Tribolium castaneum: one gene and its partners. The protein of the gene in region 2 purifies or fractionates together with the protein of the main gene of each other region. This does not show direct contact. Links are inferred from orthologs where the notes say so. Each region holds a gene or a part of one and is shown on either strand. Other genes may lie near its edges.

Evidence for each region. The genes of interacting proteins can lie anywhere in the genome.
Region 1: the proteins of Tpr2 (region 2) and hob purify together in Homo sapiens (co-immunoprecipitation; 3 studies listed by BioGRID and IntAct, counting the BioPlex papers as one, with this or other methods). This does not show direct contact. The link is inferred for Tribolium castaneum from reciprocal best matches to the Homo sapiens genes DNAJC7 and BLTP2.
Region 3: the proteins of Tpr2 (region 2) and Vps13B purify together in Homo sapiens (co-immunoprecipitation; 3 studies listed by BioGRID and IntAct, counting the BioPlex papers as one, with this or other methods). This does not show direct contact. The link is inferred for Tribolium castaneum from reciprocal best matches to the Homo sapiens genes DNAJC7 and VPS13B.

What each region holds. Positions count from the first base shown.
Region 1 is NC_087399.1:1,812,054-1,816,185, reverse strand, and holds the end of hob (protein hobbit), read right to left. Parts: intron 2,293-4,132; coding exon 1,444-2,292; intron 1,397-1,443; coding exon 905-1,396; intron 859-904; coding exon 754-858; intron 707-753; coding exon 647-706; 3' UTR 538-646; downstream 1-537. UniProt on the Homo sapiens protein: Tube-forming lipid transport protein which binds to phosphatidylinositols and affects phosphatidylinositol-4,5-bisphosphate (PtdIns-4,5-P2) distribution.
Region 2 is NC_087398.1:7,331,200-7,335,525, forward strand, and holds the start of Tpr2 (dnaJ homolog subfamily C member 7), read right to left. Parts: upstream 2,945-4,326; coding exon 2,811-2,944; intron 2,495-2,810; exon of another isoform or gene 2,383-2,494; coding exon of another isoform or gene 2,357-2,382; intron 840-2,356; coding exon 1-839. Other genes in the region: uncharacterized protein LOC103313090, read left to right, coding at 3,007-3,268, 3,315-3,541, 3,588-3,815; mRpL10 (large ribosomal subunit protein uL10m), read right to left, coding at 3,831-4,024, 4,073-4,326. UniProt on the Homo sapiens protein: Acts as a co-chaperone regulating the molecular chaperones HSP70 and HSP90 in folding of steroid receptors, such as the glucocorticoid receptor and the progesterone receptor.
Region 3 is NC_087395.1:19,613,382-19,617,032, reverse strand, and holds part of Vps13B (intermembrane lipid transfer protein VPS13B), read right to left. Parts: coding exon 3,487-3,651; intron 3,435-3,486; coding exon 2,374-3,434; intron 869-2,373; coding exon 1-868. UniProt on the Homo sapiens protein: Mediates the transfer of lipids between membranes at organelle contact sites. Binds phosphatidylinositol 3-phosphate. Functions as a tethering factor in the slow endocytic recycling pathway, to assist traffic between early and recycling endosomes.

The DNA of each region.
Region 1 (4,132 bases), on a different chromosome or scaffold from region 2:
ATTTTTAGGAAATAATTGGAAAAAAGTAATTGTTAGGTAACTAAATTAAATTATTATATTATTAAAGAAAATTATTAATTTGAATGGTATGCAACCAACATTACAACCATTTAACCGGCTAACGTGAACTAGCCAAACAATTCAATAAAAAACGTAGTTTCAACTAAATAGCGGCTAATTTACAACAAAATAGTTGGATAGTTTGTGAATTAATTCAAAAGTTGATTAAATAAGCTGGCTTAAGTTTATAAGAAACCTTGAAAAACAAGGTAATTTTCCATATTTTTAGCCGAAACATCTGGCTCACATTTTTTAAAATAAAAAAACAAAAGATTCCATAAAAAATCGATGCTTTAATAGTTAAAATGGGCTTAAAAACAAATCATTTTCCTACTTTTTTGTTTTAAAAAAATCTCAGTTGGCTGTTTTTCAGAAAATTCAATGAATAAAACAAGAACAAATCTTTTTTTTTTTAATAAAATCGACCACCAGAGAGCGCTTTCTCATAAAATGCTTTAGGGAGAAGAAACAAATGCATGTTGTAACAAATAAATATATTTGTGAAGCACACTTACGTACAAGAGAATAATTTACTTACATACAAACCACTCATTAGCGCAACTAACTAAAATTTATTCAATTTTCGTCATTTCCCAAACTTGAACACTCCACCTACGCCTTTTCTAATACTTTTATTTTCGGGTGCCTGAAACAATTCAATAAAAAAACACAAGAATTTTGTTTGAAACTCACATGTCTTGCACCAAACAACATCCTGGCTTTATCTTCTTCTTGCGGCGAGGAACTTTCATCCATTGAACCAGTATTTCGTTTGATTTGTAATTTTTGTTTAATTGCCTACAAAAAAATACAAAATCGTAAAAATGAAACCAAAAAAAAATACCTGCGAGAAGATAACACGTTTCGTGTCATTCCGAATCGCCATCAGGAAATCCAGCCACGTCCAGGTCATATTATGGTACTCCAAAGTGGGAATTACGAGGGAAACATCACGCAAATCCTCCAAATTCTTCTCCTTGTTCCCCTTATAACTGACTTTAACCGGCACTTCGGGGATTTTGATGTAAACAAACAACTTGTTTTTTTCCGCCCGTTCCTTCATTTTTTCCACATCGTCAATCAAAACGTAAAAATTCGAATCCCGGTTACGTTTCTGCGCCTTGGTTTTTTTCTTAGGTTCGTTACCGTCGTCACTGACACGGTCCGAATAATCGGCGCTTTCGCTCTCACGCTCCGGGAAACAAAACTTCATCATAGTGCTGTAAAATTTTTTGGTCATCCCGATTGTGAGAGGCACCAAGTTAATCTCAAAGTGTTCCTTGACGGAAATCCCGCCAACTGGGGGTTTCTCGCGGCAAAAAATGCGCAAAACTTTCTGGAAAAAATAGTCAACTCCAACCAAAAAAACACAAAAAATTAAACCTTGTATTCGATCGGCATCCCGTGCTGGATTTCGCTGGGACACAGCACTTCCTTGTAAATTTCATTCGGTAACAAGTTGGTCATTCTTAGGTAACCCAACTCGAGCAAGTGCTCGACCGAATCGTCATTTTTCGAGTTCTTGGTGTACAAAAAATTGCTCAGAACCAGATCTGCGATCCCGATCTGGCCGTCAGCTTCGGTCAAACGCCACTGCGCGTGTTTGAAGCAGATTTCATTGGCCCTAACTATAGTCAAAGGCTTGTCGCTTCGGGTGGTCGCAAGGCGGCTATTAGTCAACAACTGTGTCTCCTTGTAACACGACAGCATCATATCCAACTCCTCACTCTGCGCATTTAGTTGATTTTTGCACTCGAAGACTTGCTTCTCCAACCGATTCATCTCCTGCACCAGCTCCATATCGTTGGGATTCTCGGCCAGAGCCTTGCTCACCAGATACGTCTCCTTCTCCAGCCGCCGCAATTTGCTAAAAGTGGACCGAACTAGCGTTTGTTGGTTCTGGATGGGTTTTCTCTGGTCGTCCAGACTGTACAATTGTTGGAAGCGCATTCTGGCCAACTTCTCAAGAGCTTCCTTCCGGTGTGGTTCCACATACAGGAGTAAATTATTGACGATATCGAGCAGCATCGCGTATTGGAGCGAGTTGGTGCAGACGTCCAGGTCGTGGTGCATCAGGGTGAAGGCGTTGACGGCGTTTTGGCGGCGGTCCCACGGACCCACCTCCTCCTGTGGCGGCGGCGGCACCTCGGCCACCGCCTCCGGGTCGACGCTGATGTCGCCGTAGCCGGCGTAGAAAAACTCGCACTTGCAACGCGAGACTATTCTTTGCAACTAAAATAAAAATAATCATCCATATTATCCCAAAAATTTTCAGCAAAAAATTTGACAAAAAAATTAATAAATCTTAAAGAAATAGCCTACCTCTTACTTTTGTACACATATTGGACACTTAAAAGTTTTTTTTCTCTGAAATATTCAACAATAATTACTCGTATTTTTTGATACATGTTTGGAGGAAACTTTTGTCTTAAAATTGAAAGTTCTATCACCTCTTTAAATTTGTAACAATAAAGACGGAACACCCTGTATGAATACACTTTTGAAGAATTTTCTCATAATACTGATGATGTTTCTTATCTTGTGTTGTAGGTCTCTTATGTATTTAAATAAAAATTTATGTTTCACAGTTTTTTTTTTCTTTCTTTTTAATTATAACAAGCTATACAGGACTTTTTACACTTAAGTATATAATTTTATTACGTAATTAATGCCAGCAAAATATTCAGTTAGTTCAGATTGTTTAACGTTTTCTTTTAAAGAATTCATGGCCAAATCTCAAATTTTTCTCAGAATTAAATTTTTTCGCTAAAACGTCTGGAGCTGCAGTTACGATTTGTAACTCTATCATAGTTAAACTTGTGTCAACTTCTTGGTCTGTGCTTTCTTCTTTGTTTCCTTCGTTTGCACTCAAGCACTAAGCTTCTTATAACTGTATATTTCTTAATTATTGTCAGAACTCCTTGTTTTGTAGATTTATTTATGATAAAAAATAAAGTAACTTGAAGTCACTAAAGGCTAAATTTGTTCTCAACACATAGAAGAAATAAATAAGCGAAATAAAAGCAATGGATCGAAAAAAAAATTATTATTTTTGGAAATAAAAAAGTCATGTGCAATTTTTTTGCATTATTGATATCAAATCTTTGCTACCATGTGTCTGTTAAATGTATATTTCGAGATTACATTTTTACATAAATTTTTTTCTAGAAAAAAAGGTAACAAATGTTACAAATAGATTCATTTCCATTGAGCTGAAGATAGGCTTTAAAGTCAGAGACTTTTGAATGTTTAAGTGAAAAATATTACAAATGTTGCTATTGAATAATTATAATTCAACAGTTATTCCAGTTTAACGGACGGGACACTGCATTTTTTAAATTTTATTTTCAGTTTTTACGAACAGAATCAGCAGAAGTGATTTTTTTTTTTATAAGAACTTAGTGTCAGTAAAAATGTTTTGAGTAAAAATAAATAAAAAATTAAACAGTAGAAATTGAAATTTATTGGCTTTGTAATAAACGTGTTTGAATAACGGACGAGACAACAAAAGTTACGAAAAAAATAATCTTATTAATCAATCTATTTACCGATTTCCATTTTCTAAACTACCACAAACTGGAAAAAGACTAAAAATTATTTTTTTGTTGGTAACATTTCAAGCCTTCTTTTTAATATCTGAATCCTAGATTATAAATACTATTTTAAAACACGTTTCCCATAGCAACGTGTTTTAAACTAAAATGTTCCAACAGCAAAACTTGGAATAACACTCATAACGAAAACGCTTAAAGTTCTCGGGTGTCTAGGTATGCAACTCGCATACGCTCGTTGCATAATGACAGCCCTGTGTTTTCGCTCTCGTATTATTAATAACTATTCGGAAATAAAATTAACTAGACGCCCTCTGATAATGACTTTTGAACTATGTCGAAAACAGTAAAGAAATTTTCGTAATGCCACATTTAACTGACATTTAATGAATTGTTCAACAATTTTGCGTGTATAGTGTTAATTACTTACAATAGAAAGAATTACTTTAAAAGTACGTGGTGGTAAATACTAGCGTTGACTTTGGTTCTGTAGTTTTTCGTGGTATAAAGTGTTTATTGTT
Region 2 (4,326 bases):
GCCGGTGTTGGACTGTGGCACGGTTGAAGTAAAGTTTCGCGTTGGCCTTTTTGTTGAGAGGGTCGATTGCTAGTGCTTCGGTATAAAGAGTGAAAGCTTCCTGGAACCGGCAGTTTTTATACGCTTCATTGCCACTTTCCTTCGTCTTTTTGAGTTCTTTAGCTCTCTTGTAGATGTCCATAGCCTTTTTGTGGTCGGGTGCAAGTCGCAAGACTTGCTGGAAGTGGTTAAAGGCGCTGTCCAAATTATCTTCGTAATAAAGACACATTCCCCGTACGTAAATCGCATCAGCGTTTGTTTTGTCCAAATGCAAGGCCGTGTTGGCGATTTCTTGCGACTCCTGGTATCGTCCCAAGAAAGCCAAACATTCGGCTTTCATTATTTTGTAACGTGTGCAAGTTGGCGCTTCATCCAAACACCTATCCATGCAGTAAACAACTTTTCGGAAGTCTTTCTTTTCCATTGCTTTTGCTGCCTCTGTTTCGAACTGTCTCAGTTTTTCGAACGAACGAGTTTCATTGTTGATGTTGGCGTTCTTGTCAAGCAGATTGATCTGTTTGATGGCATTTTCTGCTGTTGTAAGGTCGCCAAGGGCTATAGCGCATTTCAATATTCGAATGTAGCCTTTGCTGAATGCGGGATCGATGGTTATGGATTTGCGTGCATCCTCCAATGCTTCTTGAAAGTTGTTCAACATCATGTAACATGCCGAGCGGTTCGAGTAATAGGCGGCGGTTTCGGGGCATAGTTCGATGGCTTCGGTGTAGAGATTGAGGGCAGATCGGTATTGCTTGACTTTGTATAATTGATTGCCATTTTCTTTTTTCAATTCGGCAAGCCTGAAACAAGCACGGCTTTCACAGGAACAACGCAACTTAAGTGTGACCAGAATGAGTGAAAATTGCCTTTTAATGGAGTGAATCACGCTATGAAGACAGAAAATTATAGGAAAGAACTGGGGAAAAAACGAATATTAACAATGATATAACGGAAGTTCACATAACTACCAACTTATCAAATTTAATAAGAATTTGGCTGAGTAACTAACGATGTTAACAACCTATTAAAAACAATTAAAAATAACGACCCAAACAAACATAAAAAGCTTACTCTACTGTAAACTTTTTCTCTCATTTTCTTCTGTCCGTTTTAGTTTGGTAGTAGTTTGCCATAAGACAAAGAATAAAATATTATTTTACCTAGTGCGGGGTCTGAATACAAAATATCTTAAATAATTAAGTAGGATAGAAAGGACTTGAGGCATTAGGAAAAAAGTTAAAGCTGAAATACGAAGAACTATAACTTAGGAGACGAAACGAGATACAAAATCGTACGATTTTCTGAACCCAAAAAAATAGTACGGTATTCGTTTTCAATTAATTTAAATCCAACCAATTGAATAATTACTTGGAGATTTCCATAAGAAACATGAGAAAAAAATATTTTTTAAAGATAAATTAAATGGGAAATTTTATCAGTTTTAATTTTGGTAAGAAGATAAAAGTTGATAGGAGTAACCGTTTCCGAGACAAAAAAAAAACAAAAAATACTTCTTTAACCCCCTCCCCCTCCTCAAGCTCACTCCCCACCCTCGGGAACTTTTGATATAATTCTACCCAAGTGTAAAGAATGCTTTAAAAAAATCCAACTCTCTAAGAATTTCTTTGTTTAATTTAACTGGGCTAATTCACTAATCTCCGAGACAAGGAGCAACAAACAATATTGCAGAAACAATATCTACACGTGAACCAGTAAATGACCTACCTACCAATATTACCCTAATTTCATGCGATTTGAAACGATACTTCATTAGAAGAAAATATTAACTTTTGTTTTTCTAATTTAGTAAATATTTAATCAATGAATTGATCTGATTTTCATTCGTGACTAAGCAAAAATATAGAACAAACTAGCCAATTAACATGCTAAACTGTGAAAATTTAAGGGCCATAAATCGTTGTTACTATAGCAACAACCAATAAAATTGCTAGATTTCTGATTTTAGGGTGGATTAAATTTTAACAGCCCTTTAAAACTTATAGCATGGACCTCAAAGTCGTAATATTCTGACGAAATAAAAACCTTAGTGGATAAAAATTCGTTACACATCCAGATTAGGGTTTTTTGAATTGGGTTCTCTTCAACTTTGATCACAATCATAGTCACAAATAGAGTTTGTAAATAAATCACATTGTTTTTATCTTATCAAAAACCAACACTCGTGTGGTCAATGTTTATTCCTTCGGTAGGTTACATTTGTCGTTAATAAACAACAAAGATAATCCAATTTAAAAGTGAGAACCTTACAGTTCTTATGCCCATTTATGAGGTAAACAAATTCAAAAACAACACTCACATATTGTGGCAATCCTCAACTTCCATGGTCTTTCTCGTTACAAATTGGTAAAAACCGCGAAAGTGTCACAGTGACAAGTTAGGAGAAATAATGCAAAGGCCATAAAATCCACGTTATAAATAAAATAACTGTCCAAACAAAAGGTTAAATTGTTAATTTGCACGCCGGACCAAATATAAACACTGAACTGTGGAGGAGTGAACCAGTAATTACAAAGGTGTACGACCTTAGATTAAAAATAACCCACGGAAATCGTTAAGACTGCACAAATCAAATTTAAAATCGCACCAAGTGGTTCACTGAAATAACCGAATCAATAGCAATTAATTGTGGGAAATTGCAGTAACAAATGTGAGTCAGTGACACTCGTGTCATCGACATTTCGACGTGAAACCCCACGAAAGCAGTGCTCAAAATCGAGGAATAAATCTAATTGTTGTAAAATAGCACTTACTCGGCTGGATTTTTTGGAATTATCAAATCTTCAGAGTCCATAACAACATCTTCCCCAAAATCTGCCATCTTGCACAAGTTGTGAAACGAGTAAGACCGATTCATCACCGAATTCAAAATTCGTACTGTGGGCATGCGCACTAGCTAATTTGTGACCAATCGATAAATTTTCACCAACGCGGGAATTTTGAAACGAAATGAATGGAAATGCGTTTGACAGTATCGCCTTCAACGCCAACAAATACGAAATCGACATTAAAAACTACTTCGTAACGCGCCAAGAGGACGACAGTACTCAGAGCGACACTTCGGACTCACAAACGGACCAGTACTTGGCCTGTAAAGGAGTTAAACTGCCAACTGCGGAACCACACATTTGCACCTGGGATTATTTAACAAAACCTGAAGTGATCCACTTGATGGGCATTAAGAGTAAACGACTCAAGAGGAATTTCATTGGTAGTAATATTACAATCGTTTAAAATTTGCCAAGTTTTCGTTGCAGAGGGAAAATTGCACAAAAAGCCCAAGGGACTTCCCCGGATCATATTCAGGGAGTTGATGTACTCTGTGACTAAATTCTGCACGTCTGCCAGTTACACCGTGGAACAAACTGGGGCCTTGTTGTCACAGTTCTACCTAACTCATTTATTTTTCACCAGTGTTTTGGATGTTGGTCCTGAAAAATTGTACGAGTATTTTAAAGGACTGCAAATGTGTCATTCTCTACCAGTAAGTGATGGGGGTCAAGTGTGGGTAAAAACTGTATTATTTTTAGTTCCCACCACATAGTATCAAATTGTTTAATTTGGAACAAATTAAGAACAATATGGTTTATTTCTGTAAACTATATCTTAGAAACCTGCCCTTGGTCAGGTTCTTGTGTTTGCCCAATTTTTCCCTATGTGCCCAACACCGCGTACAACCAGACGTCGCTCCACGTAAAAAAGGGAAGAAAAAAGGGAAAGGCAAAAAGGGTAAAAAAGCAAAAAGAAATGATCTATGAAATACATTTATTGAGCTATTCTAATTGTTTTATTCTTTGTTCGAGTTGTGAAACAAGGGTGCTTTGATGTTGGTTCAACTGCTGATGTATTGTAGTGGCTGCACTGTTGAGTGTTTGGACCAAAGCTGCTTGAGCTGTTTGCAAGTTTGGTATTTTTTCCAGTTCAATTAATTCGTCTTTACTCACAAATTTGCCCTCAAATATGGCAGCTAAAGGCATAATTAATTAAAAATAACAAAAACTGGATTATACAATACCTAGTAAGACAAGCTGGGGAAACCTTTTCGTGATTTTTAGCAATTTCTTTACTTCCGGTTGCGGACTAAAGACCATAATGTTTTGCGAGACGTAAAAATCCAAAACCGGTTCAAATTTCGTATCCTTGACTGCGATTTCAAGTGTTTTCTTTCCATATTGTTTAAAAAGCATGTCGCTTTTTTTGAACATGGCATAGGCTTTAAACCTTTGGTCTGATTTCATTGGATTCAAGTGATAAAAGGCAATGAGTCGC
Region 3 (3,651 bases), on a different chromosome or scaffold from region 2:
AGACCGACTGGGCAACAGGATATCTTCATCGGTTCCGACTTGTCCAAACCTCAGATTCATATTTGTATCGTTACAAACGACATATCGAGTAAAAATCACCATATTGTGATCCGACTCGAGCGATTTCTGTGCCCACAATTGCGAATTCACCGTCAAAGTGTGCGCAATCGTTGGTCCGAAAATAACCCGTATCGGGTTCGAAACCAGCCCCAAAGTCAATTTCTTGGCCAAATTCAACTCAACTTTGAACGTAAACTGATCGATTAGCGTTTGTTCGGTGAGAAAAGTATAATCAATAGATGAGCACCTCAAATGTGAGGTCAGGTCGCAATAGAGCATGTCCGAGTCCCAGTGGGCCATGTGCAGCCTCAAATTGGTCGAAGTGACCTTCAGGAACGTATGGTTGGCTGGAATGGCTTGATCTGGGGTGAAATGCCGCAAAGTGATTGGCACCACTGATTTATCCTTGTCAAAGTGATTAACCAATGAGAGTTCTAGTTTAGAAACATACAACACTGTCGTGAAGTTAGGCACTATGGCTTTATTGAAGTAGGAGTCAATGCGCATGCAGGCCGCTAGGGCGCGTGGCGAGATCACACTTCGGTTGATTTTCGCCCCGTTTGAGTCCAAACTGGTCAAAACAACCCGCCAGATGTATGCTACCGCCCTCTGTGGCTCACTTTTGGGTAAATCAAGGTAGCAAACTTCACTTTCCGAGAGACTGAACTGGGCATAGGGGATGTAACTGCAGTGATAGTCGGACCAATACTGGAGACTACAAGTCACTTGGGTCGGTTCCGGATCGATGGAAATCTCAAGTGGGACCGGAAAAATCCGGACTTTGGTCAAAGCCCGGGGTTGGGGATACCTGAAATTAAAAAAGGAAAAGTGCTTTTCTGAATAACAATCAAATGTTGTGGAAAACATTAAAAAAATGATTTAAAATCTCGTGAAAACACCCATATTCCCTCGCATTTAAATGATATAAATAAAATCAATGAGGATTTTTTATTTGTTTTTAATTCTCCTCCTGAAACATTTAATTATTGTTTACAAAATATATACAATAAAGATTTTAAATTAATTTTCTTTTCAGCTGCCTACCATTGGAATTCACGATATAATCATTAAGCTTCAATCGAATTCGACAGGTTTTGATAGAATAAACGCCAAAGTGCTAAAGATCTGCAGTCCTGTTATTGATAAATACGTAACTCACATAATAAACTTTTGTTTAGAGTCTGGGTATTTTTCCAAATCCTTGGAAAACCACTCTAACGAAGCCGTTACCAAAAGTAAACCACAAAATTATAGTGACCTCAGGCCTATTAATATTATTTCAAGTCTTTCTAAAATATTAGAAAAAGGAATTTTCAAACAAATTTATCCTTTTATATAATTTCATAATATTCTTCCGTCTTTAAAACCGGGGTTTAGAAAAGGTTTCAGTACAAATACCATATTTTAGATAACAAAATCGTTATCATTAAACATTTTTATTCAACTTTTTGCATTTGGCACACCCTGTACATTATTTCCGTGTTTCAAGAAAAAGTCGACTATTTCCTAAAGCTGCAAGGTATTCTGAATTTTTCTGTTGCAAATTTGTCGGAAAATATTCATAGGTGACTTCGCAGCGATTTTTTAAAAATTGGTCTTTTTTATTAAAAAAAAGTTGAATAATACCGAAACGAAAAGAGATAGACCCATAATGGTTTACACACAGTACATTAATTTTTACATAGAATCTAATTAGTAATTATGCAAAATATATAGGCTGTTCCATTTAAAAAACACAACTTTGGTTTACCATCCTGTATTCAACATCCTGTGTATAATAAAAATATTTTTAGTTTGTGGATCAAACTTTAAGTCGATTTATCGGATAACGAAAACGACATGGCAATATTTCAAGTAACAAAAAAGTAAGACCGATTACGCATCCCTGGGTCACCCTGTATAATAATATGGAAAACCAGTTGAAGTCAAAGCCAGTCAACTTTTAAATACATCAGATAAGGTTAAATTGTTTATTACTTCAGTAATTATTCTTGTGCTGGTTTTGTTTTTCATGTTGTATTATTTTATTGTTATTATCTTTTTAATTTTTTCAATAATATTCATAACACATAGGTATCATCTACTTTTCTTTTAATATTATTTTAAATTATATTATTTTCTTATATTAACATTATATTACGTATTTTCTCTTCGCATTTATTTCTAGTTTTAGTTATTTTTAAGTTTGTATTTAAAAAAAATTGTTGTTTAGATGTGTTTTGAGAGAGGCTAAGTAGAAAAGCATTAGCTAGACTTCGCCTCCTCGCATTTTTTTTCTTTAATAAAAGCTTTTATTATTACTATTATTATTACCTCCAAGCCATGGCACTTGTCTCCTTAAAGTTCCAAAACATGACTTGATAAGGAAGTGGTAGTTCCTCGCTGTTGGCACTACTGGCTTCAATGAATTGGAATGCACCGGCCCTTAAATCATCTTTGTAGTGTTGGTCTTTTTCCGGGATTATTATTTTAGGTTCCGAGGGAACACTCGGTGTAACATTGAATTCGGACAGTTCTTTCATGATTTTTTCCATGCAAATAATCTGTTCAGGACTTATATCAACTAATAAACAATCGCTATCGATAGTGACGTGAATTTGGGGCTCACTATCATCGCGTTGCCATGACTCGACAAGAGCGCCAAACTCAAAACTAACAGTCCAAGGATTGAGGAGCAGTCTCTTCACATTGTTACTTGTCACAGTCAACGTCATACATTCCAAAGTCGTAAAACTTTGGATTTTTTCCGGTCTTTCACTCAAAAAGAGGCGATTTTTACTCTTATTTATCGTAAGAGTGGCGTCTAGATTATGTTCGGTTTCTACAACCACGACCAATTGATCGGTTTTAAACTGTACGGTGTCTATCCCTTTCAAGTTATCCCTGATGCGTCGAAACCAACCTACATCGGGTTCAACGTCCTGCACCTCACCCACCATTGGAAAATTTTCCATAATTTTGTGTTTTAGGGTAAGTAGCGAGGTAATTTTAGCCGGCGAGCACGCCAATTTGGTGGGCCTTGCAACGTCAATAACGAAATTTGCCATTTTTCCGTGCTCTTTCGTATATTTCATGGTAAAAAAAGCCGGGGGAATCCCCGTAGCGGGATCAGGGTGCCCCGACCGTGTCACTACCAAATCAACCGGGAAATCCTGCACTGTCGGTACGGACGAAATTGGGACGTTTTTAGAGTCGTTGAGTTTAATACCCACATCGAAGCACGATAAGTGAATGTTATTTGCAAATTGCTGCTTCGACGAGTAAATATTTGGTTGTGAAACGAAGAAGTAAAGTAAAGGGGTGTACTTTTTGTGGCTTCGGATCGCTTCATCGACGCTTTCTTCTTCGGAAGCTTCGTAATTGCGGTCCTCTTCCTAATATAGTTAAAACTGGAAATTTGGTTGGGTTTTACTTGCGAATACTTACGTCGGCGTATTTGGGTTTTTTGGTGCGGTGGCTGCCTTGATGGGATTGAGTAAAGCTGAATTGGTAGAGACAACAGGAGATTTTGCCGGCGGTGAAGAGGATTTCGGATGGTGTTTCGTCGAAGTTTTGAGATGGTACGGAAATTTTGTGTTTGTCTCTAGTAGG